Linked DNA regions of Cricetulus griseus. The protein of the gene in region 2 interacts with the protein of the main gene of each other region in a biochemical or structural test. Links are inferred from orthologs where the notes say so. Each region holds a gene or a part of one and is shown on either strand. Other genes may lie near its edges.

Region 1 (3,652 bases), on a different chromosome or scaffold from region 2:
CTAGACCACTGGCCATGAGGTCCAATGGGGTTAAGTCATTTGAGATAAAATTTGAAGCTTGTATAATAACCCTTTCTATCTCTTATCACCTTCCAATGTGCTTGAGAGATGACAAGGAACTGAATCAGGAAGTAGGGTGCATATCCATTTTAACAGGAAAGAGACTCATGGACTCGGCTGTGTTCTTAGAATAGTCTGGGTTCCTATTCACCTTTATGTATGCACTCAGGAGAAAATTAATACTTGCAGAAGGTTATGAAACATTATCCATACTTGACTGAAATCCAAGACCTGGATAAGACCCCAAATCAAATGACTCTTATCTCAGAGTCTAGCCAGTTTCTGAAGCAACAATAAAATAGCATTTAAAACTTCAACAGTATTCAGGTAGGGATAAGGGACCTGCATGAGCTGTGGGAGTATCACAGGTCATTTTTGACTTTTTGCATCTCTACTTTTCCTAGGTATTCTTATGAACAACTGCTGCTTTTAAAATCCTTATGACTTTCTGAGGCCATTGCTACTAATGATATCATCTACTCAGTAACTTTCTGAAGTCTTTCTCTGGCAAAAAAAAAAAAAAAAAAGTATAATCTATTACAATACCAAGGGGCTGCTATTCAAATTTGACATAAATCTTATGTGTACAGAAATCGTATGCGTACATTTAGAAAGCTAAAGCCAAAAAGGGGCTTCAGGGGAGGCCCAACAAATATCTAAAGTGAAAAAACATTAAGGAATTTCTGTTGGGAGCTAAGCCCAGCTCCTCTTCGAGAGTAGCAAATATCCTTAACTACTGAAGCCTCCTGGTAGAAGAAAGCCCAGCCTGTACCTTCTAGCACTCACCAAAGGTCGTGCCCGCTTCAGGCCTGCTCACGGAGGACACGATGACGAATCCAAAGCCCTCGTTCTCCCCACGTCGAATTTCCACATCATAGGGCTGCAGCACAGCGCTCACCACGCCGCTGCCGCCACCACCGCCACTGCCGATGCCGCTGGTGCTGCCGCTGCCAGAGCTCACAGTGTTCAGCGAGTTCTGGCTGCCCTGCGGTGTGCGCTTCTCTTCTGTCAGAGAAGCAGGCTGGTTGCTACTGTGGTGCGATGAAGCTGGAGAGGGCACCTCATTCTCTGCTTTGGGGACTGCAAGAGAGATGTGTGTCTAAACCATTTGAAATTCCTGGAAAATAGGCCCAGCCACCACTTCCACCTTCCCCACCTGTAAAGAAACCAAGATGCTAATGAGGGCATCGTGTCTCAGACAACTGCAACACAGGCGTGGAAAGCAGCCTTGCTGTGGAAACATTAATATAATAGTCTGTCTCCAGGAAGGCTGATGGCACATTGACCCCCAAGGAAGAACCCTAAATAGCATGTAGGAGACAGTACGATGAAACAACCCACAATGCCATCCATCTACAGCAACATCCAGTTATGACCTTTCTCCTATGTAGGAAGGAACTGTGAGCAGACTTTGGTGTGAGCTATACCAGTGAAGGCTGCCATCCTAGCTTCATAGGCTTACTTATTCATCATCTTTCCCCCTCCCCCCAGATACATTTTTGTTCAAGGTTGACTTTCTCATTAGGTAGGAGACTGCTAGGGGTAGTCATAGATGGACTCATGAGAACCTCGTGGGAGGTACTCGTAATTGCTCTCCCCAGCTCCCAGCTGTAAATATCTGTTACAATCACAGAGATAGAGGCATTAGCTTCCTCCCAACTTTAGGCATTCTTCCTTCCAGTCTTACTGCCTTGTCAGCTAGTAGGGCACAGCATTCTTAGATAGTCCACACCTTAGGTGGAACCAGGTGCATCAAAACCATTATGTACTATGGTGGGTTGTGGCTATGATTATATTTATTCCACAAAGTTTTTACTTTCATAGTTATTTTTAATTGTGGGAAACATAAATTGAATGACTTCACGGTTCTTACATGTAACTCAGGGGCATAGGTGTATTCACACTGTTATGTAAGTGTCACCAACATCCATTGCTAGAATTATCAACTTCCACAAGTGAAACTTTCACCATTAAATGGCAACTCTGTTTGCCCCTCTTACCAGCGCTTGTCAGTGCCCATTCCTCTTGCTGTCTGCCTATCTAATATAATGTTTGCACAGGACTAACTTGCTGAATACCCCAAACACTTAAGTCCTTCAAATAGAACCGAAACAGCCAAGTAAAATTACATCACCTTACTACTTTAAGACAGGGAAATCAAATAGTTTTCAAATCATCTCAAAACCAAAAGCAAACCAGCTGACTACCACTGGCTGCATGGAATGCCATGCTAAGAATTTTATTTGGGGGGGGGGAGACAGGGATGAGTGCTAAGGATATAATCTGTTGTGGATTAGGACTGTTTTCAATTGACTACCATTAGATTTTTATACTGGAATTTAATAACGTCATCCTTCAATTCTATATCACTTAAAATAAGCTACATTAGTTTTTTATTTTTTATTTTTTTTAAGTGCCCAGTTAATTTTATCTGGTAGCTATTTGCTACACTAGTATCAAGGCTAGAGAGAACTCATAGGCTTTCACATCATACTTCTTCAGTAATTCAGTGACACAACAGGTCATCTTCCTCCTCTGGATTCTGTTGTATAGGCTTTGAGTAGAGGCTGTATGCAAAGGTGAATAAAGACACGTGCTTTCAGAAAAGAGCACACACGTAACCACTCTGAGCCACAGGCACAGCAGGAAGAGGGTGCTAGAACCCGAAAGCCTTTGGAGCAAGGCTCTTCTTGAGTGGAGCCTGAAAGGGTATTTTGAGAACTTCAGAGGAACCAGAGCCAACACAGAACTGGCTTGCTCTCCAGCTTTGTCAGTGAAGCCACAGCAAGGTGCTGTGTCAGGAAGAGCAAGCTCATTCTGCCTTCCAAACTCAAGTTCTGCTCTTTGACTGTGGAGCTGACCTTTTCTCAAGCTCCTGCTGGACCCTTCGATTGAGGATTATCATCAGTGAAGAGGAAGGCTACATTCTGGTTGGTGAGGGGGCAGGAGGCAGGAGATGTATATTCAACTGGCATTCTTCTGGAAGTTTTTTTAGAGCATATGCAAATAGCATATTAAAGTATCTCTGAATGACAGCACTTTTGCAGAGCTGGAGAGAAGCAAACCATCTGGAAATTCTAAGCTTGATCACATTTGCAAACATTTGCTAAAATAGAAGCTCGAGGAGGCAGACATGAGAGGGACAGAGCATAGTCTGAAGGAATGAATGAAAAACATACCAGCAAACACCACTTTACGCCTCACTGTGAGATTGACATGGCCTTGCTTAGCAGCTTGTTGCATAAGCTGGACCACAAGCTGGTGTGATTTTCCAATTACTGGTGTCCCATCCACACAGATTAATTCATCTCCAGACCTCAGGCGGCCGTCTGTGTCAGCAGCACCCAGTGGTACGATGTGACCGATATAAATCTGTCGAGTAATTAGATGATGGATGAAACATTGTCCTGTTGGTTTTACTATCAAGACTGATGGCCCGTACATCTCTAGAAATAATTCAGTTCATTCATTCATATCCACATGCATGCCACAAACAGTTATTGAGCACCCACTGTGTATAAGGCATTGGGCCAGGCACTGTAGCAGTTTTTAAGAAGTGGACAGGATAACTATTTCTTGTACAGATCTTTGA
Region 2 (4,229 bases):
GCTTCCTGCATCCTAGGCAAGCTGATACATTAGCCAAAGTTCTGGGTAGCTGCATTATCCCTTATGAGTCTTTTCCTCTATAAGCTTGCTCTTGGGGACCAGCATGTCTTTAATGCCTTCTGTTCAGGACAAACAAGAAAAGCAGGCCAGATCCTGGGGTCTGGAATACACAAGGTAATGGGTATTAACAATTCCTGAGCTGATGCTGACCCAGAGTAATGAGTCCCATCCTGTGGAGGGAGGAGGTCCTCTCAGGTGCCAGGTAGATAGAGTCTCAATTTTTCAAGTCTCAACTCTGCTTTTCTGTCATTTCACCCCTCTAAACTTTAAAACCTTCATCTGCTGAGGGAGTGAGAGTAAACGAAGAGGATGAGAGCAGCCCAATCAGCTCTGTGCCTGACATACCAAGTGTGTTGTCCACATTAGCCACAACTACAACACAACATGTAACAATCATAGGCAAAACTCAGAACCGAATACAAGGCTTCTTTCTAGTCAATTGGAAAAAAGAGTTGGGGCCACTTTATCGGGAGTGTGAACCAGACAGACACAGTCAATTCTATTCAATTCTGTTTAGTTTACTTTTGTTTTTGTTGCATTGCTATATTAAATTAAGGTGGCAAAAAGATATTAAGCTGAGTTGTGGAAATGACAAGTTTTATCAGTTAGACAAGTCTAAAATTCTGTACATACACTTCTTTTTCTCTTTTTCTAAATACAGATAAGGATTTTGAAAAAAAGAGAGAGAGCATGTTATAATGCTATTTTGTATCCTGCTTTTTCTTGCCACTGAGACATGGTCATCTCTTTTTTTTCTAAGTGATATAGTGCCAATGCCATCATTTAACTATATAATAATATACAGATGTAACAAAATTCATTTAATCAATTTCATAAAATAGTTATTATTGGGGTTGTATGGATGTAGCCATATATTCTAGACTCATCAGTTTGGTTCTAACTTGGGAAATATCCTACAATCCCAGGGCTTCATTTCTGCCATCTCAAAAATGAGAAATACCCTCTCTATAGATAAAGATTGTTCCACAGGTCAAATGAACAGACATATGAAAACATGTTTCTATATGGTAAAGTGCTACATAAATGCTTGTGCTTATCAAAGATGCTAAACAGACACTCTCCTCCATGGGATGAAAACAAGAAGATATTTGTTTGACACGCTATTGATCAAATTAAGGTCAAGTATATGCCTGTGGGAAGCTCATAGCACAGGCAGAACTGCTTCAGCCTGATTTAGGTGCCGTTATCTGTCCAGTCTTTTGATATGAAGTCAGTCTGTTTTATTCTTAGGGGGACATTGGGGTCCAATGAAAATAATTTCTTTTGGAAAGCAGGGTGAACCATTAGATCAGTCTTGGCCACCTGCTGTATCTTCGGTGTGCTTGTAAATGGCCAGATATTAAATGTCCATCTCTTGACTGACTTTGAAAAGTTATACAAAGAAAGGAAGTTGGGCTACCTTGGCAGGTACTAGTGCCCACCGGGCTTAATGTTAACATATTTAGAGCCTTCTAAATCCTCAACTTCTCCCACAACTACCTTCCCAAGCCATAGAAACAAATCTACTTCCTTCAAACATTAATTAATTGAAGCTTTCAAATAGGTTCTAATCTCAGGAGTTGAAGTAGACAACGGAAATTTCTAAAGTTCTTATATGCCCCACAAATTAGCTCTCTAAGTTAGATTACTTACATAGTAAAAGAGAGACTTGCCTTTAATTGCATCTCATTTCCCCACCATTATTACTCTCAGGTATGTGGTATCGACAAGAAGGTTTTTCAAACAACCATTTCTTTAAGAACAGACCATTTATTAATAACAACTGAGAAGTAATAGCAAACAAAACCCATTAAAGACTGGTTAATACCAGGAAACCAGGTTTAAGCTGTTTGAGGCATTGTTCTCTAATCTGCTGAGATGCAGGCAATTCTGACTGAGGTGCAGCCCCAGCTGAAAAACCAAGATGGGTGCTCCAAAACAAACCGATTCCAGCACACGTGTTCATGTTCACTGCACCTCTGAACAAAACCACTGAAATCTACCTTCTCAAATACAATCCTCTTCCAAAAGCAAGACTTTTGAGTAGAAAAAAAAAAAAGCCTTATGGGATAAAATGACCAAAGGAGGGAAAATATCAATGCCTTATATAGCAATCGCAATTGTGGCTCTGCAGAATTCATGGCAGCATGGATAAGGCACAAGGTTTACTGGAAGGAGTGAACATAAACGTGTTTGTATTTTACAGATGCAGCTATGAAAGGAAGCTAAAATCATATGCACAAGCCAAAAACAAAAACAAAAAAACATATGTGGTAGAACTGATAGTTGAACAAATTAAGCTTACATTCCACACGTCATTCCTGTAGGAGCCATCAAAGCACAATTCTGAGTGACAAATGAACAAACGGTACAACCCACCTGTGTGCTTCCTTCTGCGCCCGGCCTCCTCCCGCTTGCCCTGCCTTCCGACTCTGCCCTCTCTCCTGGCTGTCTCCCCATACGATGCAGCTTGTTCATTTAAAGCAAGAGTGAAACGGCCAACTCTGTTTTATGAACAGTGTTAGCCAATAGCAAGAAAAGAAGGAACTTGGGTCAGCAGGTCCTCAGCTTGGTGGCAGGATCGTGGGAATGAATGCTGGCTTCCTTCTTTGGAAGGCAGAGAATTTCCAGCTAGTGACCATCGTACCAAGTCACCCTGGAATTATCGTCCTCTAATGACTCTTGATGTTTTTGTTGTTGGGATTTCTTTTCTTTTCTTCTTACCTTTCTTCCTTCCTTCCTTCCTTCCTTCCTTCCTTCCTTCCTTCCTTTCTTTCTTTTTTCTTTTAATCAGATGTGATGGGCGGGGGGGGGGGGGGGAGGGGGGGAGTTAAGTGGCTTTTATTTCCGAAAGGGTTTCTGTTTCCATGACAAGCCCATCAACTCCGCTTTTCACACTCAGCCCTGCCGACAGCTTTAGATAAAGCACTTTCACTACCCTCTGGCTTTCCCGTGCACTCTGGCAAAGGCCTTACTCACTCTGCTAAAAAGTCTCTGTGAAGGCCGCCACTGGTCTCATTGCTCCTGTAATGTGTTACTCTTGCTTGAACAGTTAACTGTGGAAACTCTGTCACCATATTTCTCAATCCACCTGGCTTTTTTCCCAACTTTCAGCCTGATTCTCCTTTGCCTCCTGGACTGCTTGAATGAGAAATTCCCAGTTTCATCCCCCGTTCTGTATTTCACCTCCTGATTCAGCCTCTCTGGCTTCTTCATTCCCATCATGCAGTTCTTCTCCTCCTACCTACCTACACACACACACACACACACACACACACACACACACACACACACACACACACACACACACACTACTCCTGTTAGCTCAACCTCCAACTTGAGCCAGCAATCCCTGGGACCCTGCCTTCCTATATACAAGTGACAGATGGACTGAGAAAGAAATCAGGGAAACAACACCTTTCACAATCATCTCAAATAATATAAAATATCTTGGCATAACTCTAACCAGACAAGTGGAAGACTTGTGTGATAAGAGCTTTAAAACACTGAAGAAAAAAATTGAAGATGGGAAGATCTCCCATTCTCACCAATCAGTAGGATTAATACAGTAAAAATATCCATCTTGCCAAAACCAATCTGCAGATTCAGTGCAATCATAATCAAAATTTCAACACAATTCAAAAATCTTGATAGGGCAATTTTTGCTTTATATGGAAACACACACACACACACACACACACACACACACACACACACACACACACCAGAATAGCTAAAACAATCCTGAATAATAAAACAACTACTGCAGGTGTCATTATTCTCAACCTCCTCAAACTGTACTACAGAGCTATAGTAAAATAAACAATATGGTATTGGCATAAAAGTATACATGTTGATTAATGGAATCAAACTGAAGATGCAGACATAAATCCACACACTTATGGATACCTTATTTTGGATGAAGAAGTCATAAATATAATGGGGGAAAAGACAACATCTTTAATGAATGGTGCCGGTCAAACTGGATGGCTACAGATCCAAACAGGGTCCACACTTTTATCACCCTGCACAAAATTCACATATACTGAGCCTGATAGAAGAGAAAGTAAGGAATAGTCTTGAGCTCAACAGTACAGGAAAAAACTCTGTGAACAGAACATTGGCAGCACAGACACTACAATCAACAATTAATAAAGGGGACCTCATGA

What was found. The genes of interacting proteins can lie anywhere in the genome.
Region 1: the proteins of Cysltr2 (region 2) and Magi1 interact in a test that uses a peptide from one of them, tested with the Homo sapiens proteins (2 studies listed by IntAct, with this or other methods). The link is inferred for Cricetulus griseus from reciprocal best matches to the Homo sapiens genes CYSLTR2 and MAGI1.

What each region holds. Positions count from the first base shown.
Region 1 is NC_048601.1:50,130,171-50,133,822, reverse strand, and holds part of Magi1 (membrane-associated guanylate kinase, WW and PDZ domain-containing protein 1), read right to left. Parts: intron 3,433-3,652; coding exon 3,240-3,432; intron 1,141-3,239; coding exon 847-1,140; intron 1-846. UniProt on the Homo sapiens protein: Plays a role in coupling actin fibers to cell junctions in endothelial cells, via its interaction with AMOTL2 and CDH5. May regulate acid-induced ASIC3 currents by modulating its expression at the cell surface.
Region 2 is NW_023276807.1:227,541,780-227,546,008, forward strand, and holds the start of Cysltr2 (cysteinyl leukotriene receptor 2), read right to left. Parts: upstream 2,809-4,229; 5' UTR 2,440-2,808; intron 1-2,439. UniProt on the Homo sapiens protein: Receptor for cysteinyl leukotrienes. The response is mediated via a G-protein that activates a phosphatidylinositol-calcium second messenger system.